2 linked regions of the Astyanax mexicanus genome follow. The protein of the gene in region 1 interacts with the protein of each later gene in a pairwise test. Links are inferred from orthologs where the notes say so. Each region holds a gene or a part of one and is shown in the gene's direction. Other genes may lie near its edges.

Evidence for each region.
Region 2: the proteins of eif1ad (region 1) and glyr1 interact in binary tests that used the Homo sapiens proteins (3 or more experiments, as listed by UniProt). The two-hybrid records come from large-scale screens. The link is inferred for Astyanax mexicanus from reciprocal best matches to the Homo sapiens genes EIF1AD and GLYR1.

What each region holds. Positions count from the first base shown.
Region 1 is NC_064417.1:37,667,743-37,679,976, forward strand, and holds eif1ad (probable RNA-binding protein EIF1AD), read left to right. Parts: upstream 1-7,250; 5' UTR 7,251-7,392; intron 7,393-9,718; 5' UTR 9,719-9,749; coding exon 9,750-9,836; intron 9,837-9,955; coding exon 9,956-10,064; intron 10,065-10,281; coding exon 10,282-10,390; intron 10,391-10,774; coding exon 10,775-11,012; 3' UTR 11,013-11,684; downstream 11,685-12,234. Other genes in the region: ctsf (cathepsin F), read left to right, coding at 412-560, 1,549-1,645, 1,769-1,849, 1,991-2,110, 2,762-2,826, 3,181-3,271, 4,075-4,133, 4,353-4,427.
Region 2 is NC_064426.1:14,525,728-14,537,731, reverse strand, and holds the start of glyr1 (putative oxidoreductase GLYR1), read left to right. Parts: upstream 1-6,545; 5' UTR 6,546-6,606; coding exon 6,607-6,644; intron 6,645-7,270; coding exon 7,271-7,307; intron 7,308-7,422; coding exon 7,423-7,502; intron 7,503-7,590; coding exon 7,591-7,729; intron 7,730-8,676; coding exon 8,677-8,793; intron 8,794-9,098; coding exon 9,099-9,182; intron 9,183-12,004. Other genes in the region: ppl (periplakin), read left to right, coding at 1-2,057. UniProt on the Homo sapiens protein: Cytokine-like nuclear factor with chromatin gene reader activity involved in chromatin modification and regulation of gene expression. Acts as a nucleosome-destabilizing factor that is recruited to genes during transcriptional activation.

The sequences.
Region 1 (12,234 bases):
ATTATTATGTATCATTTATTAACTGTAAAATAACAGCTTCGGTTATTACCGTACTTTGGTGCGTCACTGTTTTGTAATGAAGAGAGTAGCATCTCTATCAGTGCTACCCCTGACTTGATACACCAGTGTTACTGCACTATATACCTTTGCTGAAGCAGGTAGAGCAACATCTGTAAGAACTACCCAACACTGTGACCTGAATAATAATAATAATAATCTTGTTTGTTTAATCCAATATTTTTTTAGGAACCATTATTTTCAGGAGTTTAACTAAGTGCTAATACCTTCTAGGACCAGTTTTAGCACTTTTAGTCCCGTTTACATAATTACAATAGTGTTACTTTCCTGCAGACCTAAAAGCTGTCTCTCTTTCTTGACCATTCTCTCTTTCCCCTGTCTCTTTTGTTTTAGAGGATGAGTTTCGAATGATGTACCTGAACCCCATGCTGAGCCAGTGGAGCCTGCAGAAAAAATTGAAGCCAGCAGCCCCAGCCAGCAAAGCAGCAGCAGAGAGCTGGGACTGGAGAGAGCACGGAGCCGTCAGCCCCGTCAAGAACCAGGTCAGGGAACATGAATCAACCTGAAGGAATAGTTTTTACCAGATGAAACTTTGGGAGCATAGGTTTTAATTATAAATCAGCTGATGAATCACTGGACTCCTATATTTAAATGAATTCATTCATAACCTTATTAGAATTCACAGCCAGGTGAATCAGTTAGCAGGGTTCCCATAAGCACTGGAAGATCTGAAAAGCCTGGACGTTTTTCTAGACTCGTGGAAAGTGATAAAAAAGGTCCTGGAAATATTAGTGAGTTTAGAAAGTTTAAGCTATTAAGCCTGGACCAAATATTGTCATTAATGAATAAAGACCCATGCTTGAGACACAGACTTACCTGCTGCTTAGTTTAAGTAAATTCAGTTTAAAATCAGCATGAAAAGCAATACTATTTATATGCACATGTTTATATATGTAATACATATGTGCACTCATTTTTTGTTTACTTTCTATTTAATAATCAGCTCATCTCAGAGGGCAGATATAAAACTATGAGCCTCACTTTTGGTCTTGGTAAAAATATTCATAAAGGGCTTTGCATCTTAAAGTAAAGATTTGCCAATAATACATCTAGATATCAGTTGTAAAACCAACCAATTTACACTGAGGGGCTTTACTATACAGGCATTGTAGTTGTCATGTATGGAATTGCATGAAAAATGTCATTAAAAAAATGTTTTCCCAAAACTGGATTCCTAAATTATTAATTATTGCAATATCTCTGCATTTTACTAGTGTGATATTTACAGATGTTTTTGTTACATTATTTTTTTTGTTAGATTATGTTGTTTCTCAGGAATTTACAGCAAATTGTGTAAAGCCTTATGCATGCGTTACACAAATTTCACCCTTTGCCTTAACCACACAACAATTTCTGTAGTGAAAACTAGTCTGACAAGTACAATCACTGGCAGCTCCAAAAACTGCATAATATTCACTATGATTGATGTGTGTATGTGTTTGTTTGTTTGTGTGTATGTGTGTGTTTTAGGGGATGTGTGGCTCCTGCTGGGCTTTCTCTGTCACTGGAAACATTGAAGGCCAGTGGTTCAAAAAGACTGGACAGCTGTTGTCCCTCTCAGAGCAAGGTAAGAAAAAAAAAACACTAGTGAACTCTGAAACATTCACATTTTTACACCATACTGCCATGTTTGATTTTGTTTATGTAAAAATTATATGTCATAAGTGGTATATGACTTTGTCTGTTACAGAGCTGGTGGACTGTGATAAACTGGACCAGGCTTGTGGGGGTGGACTTCCATCTAATGCATATGAAGCTATTGAAAACCTGGGTAAGAATTTAAATTAAAAGGTGAAGAGTAGGTCAGTTTGAAAGAAACCCACAGGTCATTTGTAAAGTAGCATAAACATAATGCCACAGAAAGTGTTTTTGCCTCATAGAAAATTGCTAACCTGTCTTGATGCCTTTGCAGGAGGTCTGGAGACTGAGACAGACTACACCTACACCGGACACAAGCAGAGCTGTGGCTTTACTTCTGGAAAAGTGGCGGCATACATCAACAGCTCAGTAGAACTGTCCAAGGATGAGAATGGTGAGAGAGAGAGAAACTAATAGGTGTAAATGTGTAGGACTGTCTCTTTTGATTATATTAGTAGGCTGGTAATCCAGTCCTTATCACAACGAATCAAGTAATCAATGCACTGTATCTGGTTGACTGTAGTATATATTTAAAATAAATTGTCATAATTAATATATAGTATTACTGATTGAATAGTCATAATTAGACAGAATATAATAATTAGAAGGAATATTGAAATTCAAAATGATAATTCATCATTATCATTTCAGAATTATTCATTACTAATCAATAATGTTTTTTTTAATTATTTGATACAGTAGTCAAAACTGCCCTAGTACTCAAATGCATAGATAAGTGAAAATGAGGCCCAGACAGTCCAGTACAGGTTATTTGACAGTTTATTTAGTCTGCTTTAAATTGACAGCTAAAGTTTTATAGTAAAAGTGCAGTAAAGTCAACTGTAAACAACACAAGGACAAATGTGGAGTCAAACACCAATTTGAAATGTATCACAAAAAAGCATGCCTAGAGTATAAACTTTTATATGTATTGTACACCACATCCTAAAATTTAAATAATGGTTAATACATTGTATTGTAGAAGAAGAATAACTTCTTGAATAAGAAAGTTAAGTAATCTAACAATTTCGATTGTGTGTTTCAGATATTGCTGCATGGCTGGTTGAGAACGGCCCTGTTTCAGCTGCCCTCAATGCTTTTGCCATGCAGGTAACTTCTAGCTTATTATTGCTTGATATCACCGATATTCTTCCACTGTGTTGCCATTTTGTTTGGATGTTGTGTTAAACTGTAATGTTTGACCATAAAATTATATTGGATTTAAAATTAATGTAGCTGTAGACTTAATCTATAATAAGAATGTGCACATTTTACAGTGTGGGTCAAAGGCTATGGGAAGTTTACTTGGTTGCCGTCTGGACTGTTCTAAATCCTGAAATTCTCCTCTGTTTAAATAGCGACATAGTTTGTGTTTAATCTACAAGCCCTAACCCTTAATATAATGTATTTTATGAACAGTAAAATAATACAGTCTGCTTTTATACTCTGTCCATGTTGTTATAGTTCTACAGAAAAGGAGTCTCTCACCCCCTGAAGATATTCTGCAACCCCTGGATGATTGATCACGCTGTGCTGCTGGTTGGATTTGGAGAACGTAAGAGCTGTTTTATTTCTTTTTGTAACAGTTTTACTTGTGAAATTGACATTCAAAAACCTCGACTACATTTTCTGTCTTAACAAATGTTGTGTCTCTGAAATGATAACTGAAAATGAGAATTAAAAATCTCTATTAGGGTCGGTTTCTCAGACAGGGATTAAGCCTAGTCACATAATTCATTTAATTAAGACTAGCCTTAATCCATGTCAGAGAAACTGACCCTCAAAGTATGATGTAGGTTAATGCAACAAGATTGTATTTGAAGTTATTGTAGACCTGTTTTAGAGAGCAGGTCAGTCCTGGGCTGTCCGCTATACTAAGCCAATTGTGTTTGTTCATTAACCATGACATGTCCACACAATTTTAATTACTGGCAGCAAAAAAGTTGTGTAAAATGGGATAAACAATTAGTCAGTTTTTTTTTCTGATTAAACTCCTTTAGATTTGGACATGCCCTTTTAAAGTTCTTATATTAAAAATATTAGGAAATATAATTGCCAAAGAGCAATTTACTAAATCTCACAACTATCCTCATCTTCATCCATATCTGCGGGATGCATTTTTGTTCAGACATGCAGGTTTTTTCAAACACGTCTTGTGTAGTAAGAGTACACAAGACGTGTGTAACACTTGTACAGCAATTACTAATATTATATAATACTATAATGTTTAAGGATATTTTCCTTATTCCACTATTGTCAAATAAATATACAGTTCTAAATAGAGTGTATGGTAACTAGAATAGAAAATATGTGCATTTTTCCTTCACAAGTTTAACATTTGTCTGTACCTGTGCACAGGCAATGGCATTCCCTTCTGGGCCATTAAGAACAGCTGGGGAGAAGACTATGGAGAGCAGGTGAGTCTCACGCTGGACCTGATTTGGCCCTGAGCTGGCCCTTTCCTTTAATCTGAAGTGTAGCTTTTCTACTGACTACAGCTCAACTACAGTATCTATAGTTAAAAATGTAATACATTTGCTAGGTAATTCTAGCAAGAATCTTTTTACTAATTATTTTATTTTAATATTAAATCTAAGAATAATTTAATAAAAATACTTTTGTTTTTTTCCCCTCAGGGTTACTACTACCTGTACAAAGGATCCAGACTGTGTGGAATCAACAAGATGTGTTCGTCTGCGGTGGTTAACTAGGAGTAAACTCTAGAGTGTACACAGTGCTGACAGACACAAACACAAATCAGGAACATGTTCATTCATACACATTAACAATAATACTCTCGTTTAAGTGGATATTTGTGGCCGTACACACACACACACACACACGTACACACAAGCAGTCATATATAATTAGCATCATCAGCGTGTTGTTCTCACTAGCTCAAGCTGTGACTTGTGAAGTATTCATCTCTAGGGCATGTTATTGTAGGAGGATTACCATGCCTCTTTTCGTTTAAAAAAATAGTGTCAATAGGCTTTTTCACACCTGCAATTTTGCCCACAGACTCACCCATCTGTGATGGTCCTTTCTGACCATGCTGGTGTAGCACCTTCTCACCATCTCACCGTTTTGTTAAACTCATATTTAATATGCAGCATTTTAGACTCTAGAATGTAGACAGAACAAGTACTTATTTTAATGTTAAATGCTCCCAATCCCCAATCGTAAATTAGTCTGTCACTGTCTATTATGTCACTATAGACTATATTAGTAACAGATAATTAGTAATTATTGTGACAAATACCAAAGTAATTATGGCAAATCAGTAAGAAAAGGACTTTCAAAGAAAGGAATTTCAGATTATCAAAAACATAAATAGTTAAGGATGAAATGGATGCTTTTAAAAACACCAAAAACATGATATGGCATGGGTGAGATCAAATTCCATTGTCATGCAGTTTACAGCTATCAGCTTTATTTTTAATTAACAAATGTTTTATTTAAAAATGTTACTCAAGAGAAATGACAGCCCTAGATCAAATGTTCTTTGCTTAGATTTTTTTTGTTTGTTTTAACCATGAACTAGTCAGTGAGGTTTTAGTGGGAAAAACAGGTTTTACAGCACTACAGTGTACCTGTACTTAGATCCTGTGCTCACAGTTAGCACATGTGCTTAGATTGGTTAGAATTGGTTGTTTTAAACAGGGGACCAGCAGAGAGAAAAGAAAACTTAGCTGATCCATCAGCAGCTCTTCTTATTTCTGTTACAAACAGAACATGCAACCTGCTGATCTACATAAAGTCAGTTGCTTTGAAAAAGAAACCTTCTTTAACAATTGTCTTAGATTAAATCTTTTTAGATACTGATGTTTTATTTTGTTTTTATTTACTAATTGTGTGAGCTAACTTTTAAACTTATATTTAAATAATGTTTCAGGAAGAAATGATGAAAGAAATGAGTGAGATTGTAGAAAATATTTGCTTCTGGGTTTTATGAAGGGGGGATTGTTCTCTTTTTTTTAGTTCATGGTGTTGATGATTCAGAGGGTGAAATTAATTTCCGTATTGCTGTGTCATAATTGGGCTCGCTGGACTGTGTAATGCTACTGATTCTGGAAGCTGTTCAGCAGACATTAAACACTGCTGAGTGCTTTTTCATTTAGTCAGGGTTATTAATAACACTAATAATTAATTCATTAATATCCTCCTGTGGTGCTCCATATGTGTGCTGAACATTTTAAATAGGAAAATGTGAAGATATGGGCTGAATGTTTACAGATGTGTGCAGTATTTCTTTCATGATAACTGAGAATAAACTTCAGAACTGCTGTTGGTCTAAAATGCACTTTAAGTAACTCAAAGGTATTCAAAGGTCATGACTCATCACTACTCAGTACAGCACAATACTATTAATAATGTATTATGTGTTTCTGATTGCTTTGCAAATATATGCTGTTTATTGCATGGTTTCAAAGACTGACAAGCATGGTCCATGGTCATAAATGTTAGAACAAACTGCTGAATAAAAGTTCCAAATCTCCCAAATGTTTGTGTTGTTTTTTTTCTCTACAGGATTCCATAAACTCTTTGGATTGCAACAATAATTTGAAGAACTCTCTGACTACTTTTATATGTTCCTGTGTATCTTTAATGTCTTCAGTATTAAAAAGGCACTAAACCCATATGTTTATTTAATTAATAGCTGAAATGTGCTCCTCTAAATTAATGGAACATACCTGTCCTGCTTAATTTGTTTCTTTTTATAAAAAAATCCTAATATTTAAAAAATGCTTTTATTGCGGTCATTTCTGCCTTTGTAGCGCCCACACAGGTTCAAAGGCGTGGATTATTTTTCTGTAACTCAAAATATTGACTACTATTTCGTTATTTTGAGATACTGTCTCATTATTTTGAGAAAGTATTCTTTTTTTTTGAGATACTATCTCATTATTTTAAGATACTGAGTCAATGTTGTGAGATACTATTTAATTATTTTGAGATGCTATCTCATTATTTTAAAAGTATGTCATTATTTTGAGATACTAATTTATATTTTGAGATACTATCTCATTATTTTAAAAGTATGTCATTATGTTTCGATAATAAATCATTATTTTGAGATACTAATTTATTATTTCGAGATACTATTATTTGGAAAGTATGTCATTATTTTGAAATACTAAATCATTATTTTGAGAAAGTACGTCATTATTTTCAGACACTAATATATCAAAATGACATCAAGTCATTTTGATATATTAGTTTTCTTTGCATTATTTGAAGTCTGAAAGCTCTGAATCTGTTTTTTCTTTTCAGCTATTTCTCGTTTTCTTCAAATAAATGCTCTAAATGACAATATTTTTATTTGGAATTTGTAAGAAAGGTCCGTAGTTTATAGAATAAAACAGCAATGTTCATTTTACTCAAACATATAAATAGCATAAATAGCAAAACCAGAGAAACTGACTCAGAAACTGAAGTGGTCTCTTATTTTTTTCCAGAGCTGTAATTACAGAAAAATGTGGAGCGTTGTAGTTTTGAGCGCCTGATTCTGACTACATTACCCACAAGGCTATCGCACGTTACAAACGGGAGCCGCAGGAAACGAGCAGCACATGCGCTCGACGCGTTCAGGAGCTACAGGACGTGTTCACTTCTTCTCGATGCACCAAATAAAACCACACAGAACACATTCACAGCCTTATATAGAGTTTCTAGGTAGGTGGATTTAAAAATGTACGATTTTCTGGAGGGAAAGTGGGTTTAGGCTGTTTCTTTCAGTTATTTTAAGATGTTATTAGCTAAGCGGCTAACCAGCAGCTAGCTGTTCTAGTAAATTCTCTGTTGGCACGTCAGTTTGAACTGCAGTGTTCTATAAGAACTGTTCATTAAATATTCTCTCGCACAGATCTGTAGATTATTATAATTGTATCTTTAACGTCTTCTGTCGTCTGTGTTAGGCAGAGGAGAAGCTGATGTTGGGGCCTGGGTGAAGTTCACTAGCTAGAGAAGAAGTTAGCTAGGCTACAGATCCAGCTGTGAACAAGATTTGTAAATATGGGGGTAGGAAATCAATTTAAGGGAACAGTTTGCTGTATATCAATTTCTTATTTAATTATTTAAAAAATCAGAACAGTTGCTGGATGCTTTTAGTTAAGAAATATAACTATAATTAAGCCTTTTCAAATATCCCAGAAGTACCCATGGTGATGTATGGGACACAGCATCTTTAAAAGATGTGTAAAGTTCCTTGAAGTTCTTTTTTGTCCTTTAACTCATAAGTCCCTAAGTGACACAAACTGAACATCCTGAGAGCATCACAGGACAGTGAGGGAAAACTTATTTACAGGGGTGTGCTGGTTTAGTGCTGGAGATAAAACTAGCTCATTTTTAAGGTAGATAAAATGTGTGTGTGTATATACACGTATGTATATGTATATATATATATATATATATATATATATATATATTAGAGGTGTGCCAAAAAATCGATTCACATAAGAATCTTGATTCTCATTTACTACGATTCAGAATCGATTTAAAATGTCCCAAAATCGATTCTGAGGGGCGGGTTTTGGACTGATTTTGGGCTGGGTATTTTTGTTGGACCTGGCAACCCGCTTGTCCCTTCAAACCGAGGTCTTCCAGACCCACACAGAGCGTAGTAGGTGTTTGAGAATCACCGGTAAGATGGCAGAACAAGCATTATATTACCTTAGATTAACGTGTAGTTTTAATGTTTTATGGCAGAATGCTTCATAACAAGCATAAAAAAGATCGCTAGTAGTTAGTTTCAGTAACTGTTAGCTAGCTAACAAGCTAACTTTCCAGTTCCACCTTAAATAACGCTACAGGTGGCTGCGGGCTGCAGCATTTAAGGCGGAACGGAAAAATAACAATAAGCTAATCAGAGCTCATTTCAGCTCCTCATCACAGAGGAATTAAGGAATGGACAATATGAATTAATTTCTCCACCTCCTGCCCCCTTTCTGAAGAAATACAACGACCTTAAATTAACTAGTTAATCAGCAGCTGCTCCTGAACTTTAGCGCTCCACTGCTATCATCACATCAGCCCAGCAGCGTCACCTACACACCACCGCTAGTAGCCTGGTAATAAAGCAGTGTTATTTATTATTTATTTATTGTTCATTAACGTCATTGTGATATCCCAGTGATTCCTCTGTCACTGAGGACCCACATTCCTGCACATTTTATTGTTTTTGTAACACATTACTTGCTCCAGGACCAGTGTATATTATGGAGGGTTTTTTTTTCAATAAGATTCATAAGCCAGAAGCAGAAATTTTTATAATTCAAATCGTTTTGAATCAAAAATCGATTTTGAATCGAATCGTGGCCCCCAAAATCGGAATCGAATCGAATCGTGAGATAGTAATCGATTCCCACCCCTAATATATATATATATATATATATATATATATATATATAGCTTTGTTTAATTCTGTTCCATTTATCTTAATTCTACAGCTTTAATGAAATGTTTTCCATTCTATAAAACTAGTTTTGACAATTAGTTCTGTAAAAAAGAATAGTGAAATACCTTAAAATATTTTGTCATGTTTATTACGTACATTGTATATTACACACATATATTTTGAAGACCACATTAATTTTGGAGGTCTGTAGTGAATGACTCTGAAGAAAGATGTAACCTCTGCACATTATGCTTCTCAGCATCTTTTGAGCTCCATCTTTTATTTTACACTTACAAAGTGAGTTGCTGTCAATCCCAGGCACTTTGTTACATTTGTTATAGCACCACTGACAATTGACTGTGGAATATTTAGTTGTGGGGAATTTAACGACTGGACATATTGCACAGGAGGCATCCTATCACAGTACCATGCTGGAATTTACTGAGCTCCTGAGAGCAACACATTGAGTTCAATGATTTGGATGAGTGAATGAATGCCTTTGCCAATTTAGTGCATTTTTGGAAGGACTAAATAAAAAAAAAGTGGGTCTGTGAAGAGCTGTTGCAAATTTTGCTAATTTTTGCCTAAATAATTTTACTTTCACAGACATCAGATATCACCGTTCTCACTGTCAAACATGTCCCGAGCAACCAAACGCAAACATGTTGTCAAGGAGGTTCTTCAAGACTACGTAACACCCAGTGAGAGCCAGCAGATCATGAGGGTAAGCCAGGGCAAGCTTAATATCTCTACTCATAAATAATGTAGGAAGAACAGCGCACTGTTGTAAATAAGAACTCTTTAAACTCTTTATTCAGTTAAAGTGTAATCTCTCTCTTGCAGATCCAGGGAAGCAATGGCAACAACCTCCATGAGGCCGTAACTGAGAGTGGTGAGAAGTTTCTGCTGAGCATGCCCACAAAGTTTCGTAAGAACATCTGGATCAAAAGAGGTTGGTTTTAAGGCCTGGCTCCATTAGAATTCTTAAAATGTGTTAGTGTTTCTTAGTCCTGATCCTGGCACACCCCTGCCCTGCACATTTTAGAGGATTCCCTGCTTTAAAACAACTCTATAAAGAGTTGAATCAGGTGTGTTGAGACAAGCAGGGACCAAGAAGGTTATTTTAAAATATTTACCAAATCATTTTTTGGCTGTGTTATTTCTTGCAGGTGATTTTGTGATCGTAGACCCTATTGAAGAGGGAGACAAAGTGAAAGGAGAGATAAGCTTTATACTCTATAGAGACCATATCCAGTACCTGAGGAAACTGGGTGTCTGGTAAGTACAAAATGATCACATTTGGGATGTAGATTCCTTTGATTGGCTGGTCTATATTGTCATTCAGTAGATATCATTTTGTTTATATTTTGGCAGGGTAAATAGAGATGGAAACTTATGTGGGTTGGTGTAAACTGGTATTTTTTTCTGCACATATCTGTTAATACCAGTACATAAAGAAACCAGAAACTGAATTTCCATGGCTCAGCATAACATAACTTAAACATTCTGATTTCTGTGTGTGATAAATACATAATTAACTGTGAGTCTAATCTAAAGGTTTTGTTTGTGACTTCACATTTGTTGTCCAGTATACCTGTATAATAGAAATGTACTTTGATCTAAAATTTGGCAGTATACTAAACTGATTAATGTGTCATACAGGCCAAAAGGTTTCGAGGCAGGTGGCGAGTCTGAGGAGGTAAAGGAAGAACCACAGAACGGACAGGACCACAGTGAGGAGCAGGAAGAAGAGAGCAGCGGCAGTGACTCTGAGGATGACAGTGACCTTTTTGTGAACACAAACCGAGCCACGGTTCACTACAGTGAAAGTGAAGAAGACTCTGATGAAGATGATGATGAGGATGAGGAAGAAGATGAAGAAGGATCAGAGAACCATTAAGTGAAAATTTTGGGACTTTAAATGAAGGGTTAATTTCATGCTGTGGACATGTTTATAAACTTACACAAGATGCAAACTTCAATTTCCCTTGATTTTTGGACAGTGATTTATTACTTTCTGGTTTATACATGTAACCAGTTAATCTAAGCATGGGAGAGTTTCTGACACAAAATGCTGTTTTATTTAAATCATTGCTTGTCAACCAGGTCTTGAGTTGAGAATGCACAGATTGTTTAAGCAAGGACTCGTCTGTTAGTTCATTAGTTGGTCAGGTGGGTTAAAATTAGGGGAAAACACCTAAAACCTGCAGGGCAGTGGTCCTCCAGGACTACGATTGGTAACCAATGATTAAGCCCAAACTTTAATCCATGTCATCAACTGGAATCTGTATTGTTACATTCAGTAAACTTGTTAAAATTTGGTTTGATTTGGGTAAAGCAGCTTGCATTAATCCCTTAATTGCTGAGATGGAAATATAATGACTTAAAAATAGCCTTCATGGGGCAGATGTGAATATGGAAAATCTATCTTATGACTAGACTTAATCCCTGTATGGAAAACTGACCCATAGTGTATAATACATTTCAATCTGATTCCTTATATTCACAAATGCTTTTTTTGTATCATATTGTATGTACATATGGCAATAAAGTTTTTTTGTTTTGTTTTGTATACATGTGTTTATGCATAGTTATTGCTTCAGATGTTGGATACCTGCTCACAAGAGATGTCCTTTTTGATATTAAAAGTTTTTTTTAATAAAAAAAAAAAAAAAACATGCACTCAATAATCTGGTCATGATCAGACTTCTGCTGTTATCTGAATATCTAAAAAGTCATGTATACACAGTCTCATAATTCTTTTTTTTTTTTTACTGCAGTATAGGGAAAGCTGTAAGGACAGTGAGTTATATTAAAAACCATGAAACATCTGTACTTGGCTGTCAAGTGATTTCATGTTAGAAAAAAAAAAACTGTTGGAGGATGTTTAATATTTGTTACCAGTACATCCTTCTATGAGATCATTCAATGGTTGCACAGTGGCAATATATTATGGTCTAACCTGTGAATCTGTGTTTTATCTGATTACCAAACTGAAGATCAAGCTCAGTGCCTTCCAATGTAAAGCAAAACTTCAAATAACTATGGGCATAAGCACCTCATCACACCTGTTAAACATGGGGGCGGCAGGATCATGCTTTTCTGCCTCTGCTCTTCTACTG
Region 2 (12,004 bases), on another chromosome or scaffold:
TTGAGCGGAAGCAGAAGGAAATTGATAACCGAAAACAGCTTGAGGATGAGCTTCGATTCCTGCAAGAGAAACTGAGGCGCCTGGAGAAGGAAAAGGCCATGGCTGAGGAGAAAATCTCCATTCGAGAGGTTCTTAAGGTGGAGAAAGACATTGCCCTGGAGAGGGAGGTTGAAAACCTGAGAAGGCAGCTCGAGGATGAAAAGGCAAAACGAATGTCCTCTCAGAGAGAGAGAACTGACATTCAGCGGAAGATCACAAGCCTTGAGGAGGAAAAGTCAAAGGTTATCATCCAAGAGAAGGTGCGTGAGATTGTTAGACCAGATCCCAAGGCAGAAACCGAGGTGGCCAATCTCAGACTAGAACTTGTGGAACAGCAGAGAAGGTGCAGAGATTCTGAACTTCAGCTGAAGTCCTTCCAGGACGAGCTGATAGTGCTGAAGAACAGAGGCCCACAGATCGAATACAAGGAAATCATCAAGGAGGTGATCAGGTACAAGACTGACCCTGAAACTGAAAGAGAGCTGGAGAAACTCAGAAATGAAATTGTGGACAAGACCCATCAGACAGAGAAGTGTGAACTTGAGATCATCCAAATGAGGGATGAGATTCAGAGGTGGAAAGACACCAAGCCTCAGATTCAGACCAAAGAGGTGGTTAATGAGGTCCTCCAGTACAGAGAGGACCCTAAAACCAAAGAAGAAATTGAAACCCTTAAGCGGAAACTTGCTGAGGAACAGAGGAAGCGTTTGGACCTGGAGAGAGAACGAGCCTCCGGTGAAGAGAAGATCAGGATTAGGAAGATTGACTTGTCTCAGGTTAGGGAGAAGGTTGTGCAGCAAGAGGTGGTGAAGATGGAGCAGGATCCAGTCTTGAGATCTGAATGTGACACCTTCACTGAAAAGATTAACAATGAAGTGCGACAGAGGGAGCTCTTGAAAGAGGAGCTGGTCAGGCTTCAACGTCTAAAGAATGATCTTGAGCTCCAGCTGGAGGAACTTGAGCGTGAACGCAGAGCCCGTAGAGACGCTGAGCTGGAAATTCAGAGGTTGAGAGTTCGGCTCAATGAGCTGGAGATCAGGGACAAGGAGAACAGAGAGAAGGTCACAGTGAAACAAAAGGTGGTCCTGCAGCAAGATCCTCAGCAGGAGAAAGAACATTCCATCCTACGGCTCCAGGTTGAGGAAGAGAGGCACAAGCGCGTCCTTCTGGAGAAAGAGTACAATGCTCTGATTCAGAAACAAGAAACACTCGAGAGGACAGAGGTCCGCGAAAAAGTTGTCCGCACAGAGAAGGTTCAGGTCGAGAAAGATCCCGAAGCTGAACTTGAAATCGAGAGGCTGAAGAGAAGCCTTGAGGAAGAAACAAGACGCCGGCAAGAATTGGACCTGGAGCTTACCACTATCACGTCCAGACTGACCGAAATCGAGTTCACAAACACAAAGTCGTCTAAAGAGCTGGACTACATCCGTGATGAGAGCAACAGACTCCAGCAGGAGAACCAACGTCTCCAGAACGAAATTCGGAAACTTCAGGCTGAGATCCAGATCACCACAAAGGAAACCAGACAGATCACAGAGTCTCTTCCAGTGGACAGCAGCAAGAACCTTGAAATCCGGGTAGCGTCTCTACAGAAAGAGCTGTCTGACCTGAGACGCATCACGACAGAGAAAGAAGAAGAAATCGAAAGGCTACAGAAGAACCTTTCTACAGTAAGGGTGAAGAGAGAGCAAAGAGAAAGCCATCTCCGCCGCTCCATTGTCGTCATCGATCCAGACACCGGAAAAGAGATGCGGCCCGAAGAGGCATACAAGCTGGGCCTGATCGACTGGAAGATGTTCGTCAACCTCCAGAGTCAAGAATGCGACTGGGAAGAGATCACCAACAAGGGTCCAAACGGGGAAACGTCTGTTCTTCATGACAGAAAATCAGGCAAGAAGTTCTCCATCGAGGATGCCCTACGGTCTGGAAACATCACAAACCGTCAGCTACAGCAGTACAAGAACAAAGAGATCAGCATCCAGGAGTTTGGCGTCATGATTTCGGGGAAGAGCAAATAATCACCCAATATGTTTTTGTCTAGTTTTATTTTATTCTGACACTTTACTTCTTTAAAGTTCTTATTATTTTCTGTGGGTTTTCAGATTATAGAGACAATAATATCACCTGTCTGTTCTCTGCTTTGGTTTCTGATTTTTGAGCTAATAGGGAGAATATCTAGGCTAAAACACCTTTTTGTTCTTCTTGAAGGCGTTCTGATTGATCGGGCTGAGTGTTATCTGGGACTGTCCTTAACATGTTCTTAATAAATAGGCTACTTAGCGAAACCATCCATTTTCAAATACAGCATGTTTTGTATGCTACAGTACGTCCTCATGACACTTTGAATGTTCCTTTATTAACCACTATCAGATGAACCTGTGTTTCTACTGTTTTTCAAAATAAAATACATGTGGGCAAACTGGAGTACCATGTTTTCATGTCTTCTTTCTGCATTTGAAGGTTACCCATATATCAAATTATTATCAGTAGCAGAGTAAATAATAAAGATGAAGGCTTGGACTACAGTAAAGGTCGGGGTGATAAACTTCTGGTAAGAGGGGTGTTCAAAGTAAGTTTAAGTTCACAGAGAGGAGTGTATGTAAATGAGGCCTTTCTGACTCGTCATATTACTAGGTTCAAATATAATATATAGAGATGGGACCGATCCGATACAATATCGGGGCCGATATTGACGTAATTTAACGAAACGTAAATCAGGCGAGTGTGTCCGATCCACTTACCAATCCATATTCCAGTCCACAGCTTGAGCTGGAAAATAAACCCGCCATGATGTTAACACAAAACGCATCACTGATCCGGATTCCAGTTCCACAGTTTACCCTGAACCCCCAGCAGCTTCAGTCTGCGGCTGACTGAGTAAACTTTAGCTGACAACTGTATTCTGGTGTTGTAAAGGTATTAACTACAAACTGGATTAAACTATCGTCATAATTCAAATATTCTATAAAACCACAGGATCTACAAACACTAACCAGCACAAACACACCCATCTGTTGGTAAAAACAGCAATTAATTTAGTTCGGAAATACAGCTGGCATCGCCAGTTAGCTGTTAGCCATCTCCATTAAGATCTGCAGTCTGTTAGCCTAGCTAGCATCGGGCTTTCAGCTGCTGTCCGGCATTGTGAAGGTAATAATAAGTAACTATCTCAGGTGAACTTCAGCCATAATCCACATCGAATATCAAACCACAGATCCTACCCACTCTAACCAGTACTAAGAAATAGGGGTGGGCGATATGGCCCTAAAATAATATCACGATATTTCATGGCATTTTCACGATAATGATACTCTTGGCGATATGACAAAACACTGTATTAAAAATATATATTTCAAGAATACACTCCTGCAACAAAATTACAATTTTGTAATTTTATTATTGCATACGAAAAGGCATGATATGGCACACCCCTAATTAAGATATTTAGAAGTACAACAATTTTATCAGATTTATAACAGAAGTCAATGATCCAGAATGTCATGATAATAATAATGCACTCCATATATCCAGGACTAAAGTAAAATAAATGATATAATCTGTCTCTAGTAGATATATAATGAGAAATGAGAACAGTCTGAATTTTCTTTTAGGGGTGGGTGATATGGCACGATATTTCAGGAAATAATACGATATTCAATACAATATTCAAAAATGTTGACGATATTATCGTGTACGACACGACATGGCACACCCCTACTAAGAAATCAACCTATGATTAAAAAACACTGTTAACGTCAGTTAGCGTCGCCGGTTTGCCGTTAGTTATTGCAGCTAATCTACTACGCTACATGCCATAATAAAAGTCTCCTGCGCAACCAGTGCAAATAATTGGTCTCAAGCCCTGTATTTAATATTTAACATATTTAATATTTAACTTTTTTTATATATTTAATAATAAATCTAATATTTAATTTGAAGGAAAACTTGTGTTTGTACAAAAGTGTTAATGTGTCAAATAAATGACATTAAATGCACTTGTGTATACTCTTCAAAGGGATGTGTGGTCTGTTTCAGCCTCATTCATGCAGAGAGTGTCATGTAAAGTACTATCCTCTGTTTTAAAAGGATATCAGTAGCAACTTTTAATTTTGTGTTTCTTACCCTGAAACTCTGCTCCACTTTTTGGTTAGTTTTACCTATATTTAGTCAATGTATTGTTTAGCTCCGATCATCATAAAAAGAATACAATGCAACAATATTACATTGTTATTTTTATTCTTATTTAGGCAAAATATCATATATACAAGTTATTTTATTAATTCAAAACCTTAATTTATCATATTTTAAAAAAAAAGCTATGCAACACAAAAAAAAAATATTCTCTCAAAAATAATGGATATTTGTGTCAGGTTTGATATTAGTATTCTCCTCACTAAGGAGCCAGTGGCAGAAAATATTTAAAAAAATGTCTTGTTCTTTATAAATATAATATAATAGGACTCTCTGAGTTGTATATGATGCTGCACATGAAACTCTTCCTCAATCTCCATTGCCATCTACGTCAACCCGTGAATTAGTATTCATGGCCTTGCCCACCTTGTCTCACGACCACCCACAGGCAGCGCAGAAGCCAACACAGCAAAGCACATCTTGTCAAATAGGAACTAACAGCGCTAGGAAGAGAATGGCAGTTTGTTCCTGTGTTATTTGTGCAAATAAAACATCAGTGTTATATGCTTTGCCCAGTAATTCAGATCTATGCAACAAGTGGTTGGAATTTGTCTATGGAACACCACCAATTAAGTACAATGGAGATAGGTAGGTGTATGTTTAAAACATTTCTGTTTACAATAGTTTAAAAAAAAATCCCATCCAGGGTGGATTTTTATTTTCTGGACCTGGACTACCAACCTCCGGTGGATTTTGCTAGGTCAGTGGCTGAGAGACAGAACCTTCTCCCTGAACCGGTTCCGGGATTGGCGCTAAGAGATTTAGATTGGCGCTATGAATGAACACGTGGAGTTATAAACTTAACAAAAAATGACCTGGCCTCCACAGTCACCGGACCTGAACCCAATCCAGATGGTTTGGGGTGAGCTGGACCACAGAATGAAGGAAAAGGGGCAACAAGTGCTAAACACCTGCTTCCTTCAAGACTGTTGGAAAACCATTTCAGGTGACCACCTCTTGAAGCTTATTGAGAGAATGATGCCAAGAGCATGCAAAGCAGCAATCAGAGCAAAGGGTGGCTATTTTGAAGAAACTAGAATATAATTTTTTATATTTATTTATATACTTTTTTTGTTAAGTACATAACTCCACATGTGTTCATTCATAGTTTTGATGCCTTCAGTGAGAATCTACAATGTAAATAGTCATAAAAATAAAGAAAACGCATTGTGTGAGTTTATGTATATATGGGTATGTACGTACATATTATTATAAAATCAATTAATTTATACACTTATTAATATGCCAAACCATGTCTGTCCTATTAAAGGTCTTATTAAAGAGAAAAGTGTACAGTATTTCAGCACAAAAGCACATATTTGTAATGTATAACAGCGTCCTAAATCAACTACATATCTGCTGTTTGTAACAAACCAAAATGGTGAAAATTGGGTATAAACTGGTAGATTTGTGATTTTAAAGGCGTATTAAATATCTTCCTCAGTGTAAATTAATGCAGTGGGGGCGCAGGGCTGCCTCCTCCAATATGGCGGACGGCGTCAGTCGATGTCTATGGATGTATAAACCGGTTCTTCCAGTGGCGTTACATCTAACTAGCCGTCAAAATAAAAGTTATTACTATATTAGTATTTTATATATATATATATATATATATATATATATATGGTTTACAAACCACTTTATTGTACAACATTGCTGAAACCGATTACGTTACTGCATCTACTGCAGCATTTAGACAACACACAGCACATTTACACTTTGTAAATATTAAAAGTATAATTTTTTTTTTTTTTTGAGAAATTACAGATGAAGATGTATGGCTAAACCACATGGCAACAATGCCTTTATCTCTGCTTAACACGGGAGTAAGTTTCAGAGCAGTCATTGCTAAGATGACAATAAAAAAGCTACAAAAAACAGTGTGTATATATATATATATATATATGTTATACCGTGTTTTGAAGTTATATAGCAAAGTATTCATTATTTGTTATTATTATTATTATTATTATTATTATTATTATTATTATTGTTATTATTAATATTATTGTTATTTTCATTGTTTTTATTATTATCTTTATTATTAGTAGTAGTAGTAGAAGTAGTAGTAGTTAACTCTGTAAATATATATACACTGCAGTATTGTGTAACAGTAAAAGGTAAAGGTTTCTTTGTATGTAATGCAACCATGATTATACGTTGTTTCTATGTTTTTCTAAATGTTCTAATAACTTAAAATAAAAGAGCACAGTTTAACCGTAATATTAACACATTACCGCTAAACTAGCGTGCCATAACTAGTTGCGTGTAGATATCGATGGTCTCTGAAGACCCGCCCAGTGGGATATCTACGGTAGTGACGTGTGTGGGTGTGCGTCTCCCCTGCGCTCAGTGCGTCTTTAGTAAAGGGTTAAGATGGCGACGGTGCATCTGCGGATCGGGGATTTGGTTTGGTGAGTTTTTGCTGTTGTAAACTCGCTCTGTTCTGCTGTGGAACTCCTTTAGCGCCCGGGACTCGTTAAACACGCCGACTTTGTTGCTGTTTTGACGGCGCGGACTGCTTTAGGCCAAAGGCGTTCAGCAGCAGCAGCCGCGAACCCAAACATTGAGAGGGGCAGTTTTAGCCAGCTGGCTAACGAGGCTAACCTGCGGAGTGAGCGCTGGGTCCGGATTACCGCTGTAAAACAAGACACCAGCCCTCTAATTTTAACATTAATGCATTATAAATGTGTTTCTGGTGGCTATTAGTGGTTCTGTGGTCGGAATGCGGGCCTGTGGGCAGTGGAGGTGCTGGGCTTGGCTTGCTAAGCTAACAGCCAAGCTGCGTTGTCGTTTAGTAAAGCTGGTAGAGTTGGCTTCGTGGGTTTTAAATGTTCCGTTCCACCTTAAATTTTAGTTAAATCCGCTACAGTCTGGCTCCTCTGGCTCAGAATGTGATTACTGTAGCGGTGTCATTTTAAGGTGGAACGGAATATTTAAAATAAAAAAAAACTGTGCAACATGAAGTAACTTTGCTCCTGTTCTTATGTGTTTTCAAGCTTTAATTGAACCTAACCTCCCTCCTTGTCGTGTGTTTTAGGGGAAAGCTTGGCCGGTACCCTCCTTGGCCTGGGAAGGTACGTTCACTCTATAAACTGCTACCACCACTCCTCCATATCTCGCCCCTGTGGCTTTTAGTGACTCTACCATCATCTATAGCTTCTGATCCTGAAACCATCCTTCTCATTACAGGTTGTCAGCCCCCCAAAGGACCTAAAGAAGCCCAGAGGCAAAAAATGCTTCTTTGTGAAGTTTTTCGGGACTGAGGATCAGTGAGTACAAACTTATTTTTGTTTAATCTGTTTTTGTTTGTGTCAAATAAGTGTATGTTCACATGAGATATTCCTCATTTCCCTACAGTGCCTGGATAAAGGTTGAACAGCTGAAGCCGTACCACCCCCACAAGGAGGAGATGATCAAGATAAACAAAGGCAAGCGGTTTCAGCAGGCTGTTGACGCTGTCGAAGAGTACCTGAAGAAAGCTAAGGGGAAAGAGCAGGTAAGTGTGACAAAGTGATGGACAAGATGATAACCTCTATTTTGCTTTGCAGTGAGAAATTAAGATCAGAACTAAGGTGTGGTGCTCTTTTAAAATGTATTAACACATCTAATAGGGGTGCACACAGTTTAGTACACAACTGTATATGCATAGTCTCACGCATTTAAACAGGACCACCCACTATGTCGTAAAGACTTGGACATTCACACCTGCAGATCCTGAATGATGAGATCCCGTTTTCTTTACTCCCTGGACTTGGCATTTTTTTTGTATAAACGCAGCTTTTTATAGTATAGGGTAGATTTTGCCTCTTCTGAGGAATTGTAAACTAAATCCATTGCTACAACATTCTGATCTATTCAACGTTTTTCAGCTAATTTGTTTAGGAAGTGAGATTGTATGTCAATGGTCATTAACCCTACTTCTTGAGGCCAACTGTTCAAGGTAGTTTTGTGCTTTGCTGATCCCAGCACACCTAACCAAGCTAATTCACCATTAACAAGATCTTACTTAGTTAAATTGACTGTAAATAATAACATAAGACGCAACATGTGCCAGTCATTGGGACTCCAGGACCAGGGCTGCTGACTGTTGTTTTGAAGTATATGAGAATGTGATTTATACATAGATTGTGCTAAATGGAGCTCTGTTATCTGCAGTAATTTATTTGCTTTTAAGAAACACGAGGAGGAAAATCAAATGGATGATAAAACTGAAAGAATTTCTCATTTAGCTGTACTTATTGTACTTATTGTATTGTTATGCTAATTTGTTTAATTTGTTTCTTTTGTCTTTTTTATCCAAGGTGATCTACTATCGACAGTGTACATCATACACCCAGAAACTGTTATTATAATATAATTTAGACCCGCATTAAAAATTGCATCAAAACATTGTCCATGTCTCATTGAAACCCCTCTTAGCTCATCTTGTTGTTCATTTTGCAGGCACATGCCTCAGACGACAAAAATAAAACGGACAAGGGGCGAAAAACTGCAGCCAAACCTATGAAGATTATAGAGGAAGATGATGAAGATGCATTTAAGGGTGGATCTTCAGACAAGGTTAATACTACTGTGCTTGATCTTTCAAACCGGCCACATGCTTTAAACTTTGTGCGAGATTAACCTGCTGTAGGTCTCAGTCAAATGTTTACTTCTGGGACTTATCTGAATTGCCATATTCACACATCATCGCTTGATTGCTTTTGTTTTGTTTTTGTATTTTTTTCTTTTTTTTTGGCCTATGCAGTTTGAACGCACACAGGGCTGTGTGTTGAATGAGCAGCTCTGCTTCTTGCTTGAGGCTTTATTTAGCAAGATATGGTCAAGTCTAAGTATATGGTGAATGTATCTCTCTTTCCCTTAAGGATCAAACTGACTCTGACCCAGAACCGTCCTCTGTGCAGCGGGTGATGGCTGGAACAGTTGCAGGATTCAAATGGGAGAGCAGTGTAGGTGATAAATTCACAGTTTGCCCTGATTAATCTGCACTGTGCTGTGGAAGCCTGTTTCTGGCAGGTAGGAAAGGGGGGAAATTGCTTGTTTACTTTTCCCCCTCTCAGTTCCTGGCAGCAGTATGTCAGGTTTATCTTATGTTTGAAGTTTTCATCTTAAAGTAATGACATTTTCTCAAAAGTTTTCCTTTTATCTCATAAATGCTGCTCGAACATAAATCCAGGTATGTTTTTAGGTCCCACAAAATGAAAATATGAGCAAAGGAAAATATAGTGAAAAACATATTGGATATTGGTATTGGAAAGTTTTTTGTGTGCCATTTACATTTGTAAATATTATAGTATAGATTTAGTATACGTGTTTAGACATTCAATTTATTTACTGAATTTCACAAATTAGTTAAGGGTGTGCGAATATTGTATTTAATGTGCCATTACTTTTTGAACATAGCATATTTTGATTTTAGAATAGTTTTTGCAAACCTGTTCAGTTCAATAAACAACAGTAACACTGTGCAGAAGTGTGTCCTTGTAGAGGATGCACATCCAAAATAATGTGATTTATTGTTGCAGCATTCTAAAATAAAACAATGATCTGATTTGCTTGTAAGTCAGCATAAAATATTAATTAAACTTTAAAATAAAGCTGTTTAGCTGTATTATAAATATGAAGGCATGTATTGTTTAAATCAGGGATTCTTAATCTTTTCAAACTTAAGGCCCACCTGTATATAATTAGAAAGCATAACAGGCCACAAGAAGAAAAACTTGAAAAAAATTATGTATTTGTTTTATTTCTTTGTAAACGTAAGAATTGGATCTGAACAATTGCTTTAAAGATATTGTTCATTTTAGTTCAATCACAGAAAATGTGGGAAGATGTTAAACAGAAAAGCAGAAGTTATTTTAGCTTTTACTCCAACAAGAACATTGCTAAAAGAACACGTGAACTTTAAGCATTTAGCAACACTCGGCACTAGTTTCCACATCTGTGATGAAAATAAATATACCTTTAATCAGCCTACTACTTTTACTTTTTAAAGGTGTCATTTTGCTAGAAAGCATTTAGTTATTGCTCTGTTTGAAATACCTGTGGCCACCCTAATTTGCCTATTTATGTTTCACAAGCTTAGATTAGGCCCCAAAAAAAATTCAGTCCGACCCTACCTGAGCCTGTGCACGTTCTGGATGGGGGAGGAGGGGGTTGAGAGTCCTAATGAGTGGGTTCGGTATCTGACTGTGCAAAATGGGGGAGAAAATGAGAAAAATTTGAAATAAATGTATAATTTTTTTTTTTCTTTTCAGTAGGTAGAACATTTTTTTACACTTCAATTCCAAGTTGTTGGTGCCAGTATTTACTGATTTCTGGTGCGTGATTATTACGTTCTAACTTTCACGTTCACGGTTTTCCCATCAAATTGACCTTGTTTAAAACTATAGTTGTGGGTGAAAATTCAAACAAGATCTGAAGTAATGAAGGAAGTTTATTTGAGAATCAATTAACAACACAGTTTAAGCTTTTGTAGGTTTAAACATAATTTAAATATTAGAATACGAATATTTTTGCTGGACATGGCAACTCTGTTCCTAGCTGTTTAGAAAGAGGAGTGCACCAGGTGGCATGGGAGTTGGTAACGATGTGTTTTCCTCATTAAGGTACTGAAATTGTGTTGCCAAAAACTGATTAGGACACCCCTGTTTGTTAAATTAAAATGATGACTGATGTAGTTTTCTGTGCATTATAATACACAATTACTTTTTATTTGCAGATATTTAGTTCAGCAGATTGTGGAAAATGGAATTTTTTTTTAATTGAATGATTCATTTTTATTTACTTTTTTTTGCAAATTTTATTGATAATGGAAATTGTGACTAAAATGTGCAGAACAAATGTTAAACATTTACAACGTTTAGCAAATTAACATGACTGCAATCTTTAAATCTTTAATATTTGGTCAAGTCAAAATTAAGAGAAAACCTCAACATTTGAGAAAATGTCATTATTTGTTCATGCTGCTGGCAGAAACAGCAGGGCTGAACACAGGTGTTTTGTTTCTTACCTGCCAGAAATAAACTTCCTTTTTTTTTTTTTTTTTACTGTATTTATAAATTTAACAAATGCAGTTTCTTTTTTTCTGCTTGTGGGACATAAATGTCATTTAGTATAGTTACTTGAGAGCCAGGCCTTAAGAGCCAGTTAAGCTAGAGTATAATGTAGGGAAATTGTGACTAGGCTTATTCCTGATGTGTAAACTGTAATTAAGTGTTTTAATGTATAGTCTGTGGTCTCTGCCATGAAAAACAGCTTCCTCTGGGATTGTAGTTTTCTTAGGATTGCGGCGTTAGTGTAAGAAGTCTCTGTGTGTTAAATGTTATGCCCCCCTCTACAGTACTAAAACTGTTTGTATTTCTAATTTGGCAACGAAGTTTAAGTAGAGTTTAGGTTTGTGAGGTTGTTAGCAGAACGTTTGATAATGTGAATATACCGTATTTTTCGGACTATAAGGCGCACCGTATTATAAGGCGCACGATGAGTGAACGGTCTATTTTTAGTGTTAGTCCATACACAAGGCGCACTGGATTATAAGGCGCACTAAATGAAACTTTATTTATATCAGTAACAATAACTCTGAGCAATAAATCCTTCACAATATCTGTGAAAAATAACAACATCTCTGAGCAAGAAATCAACAAGCACAGCAAGTACGTATTACTCCGCGAGGCTCCTGACAACGGTAGCCGCAACGCTCCGACAGACCATAATATTATGTTGAAGCACAGCAAGTACGTATTACTCCGCGAGGCTCCTGACAACGGTA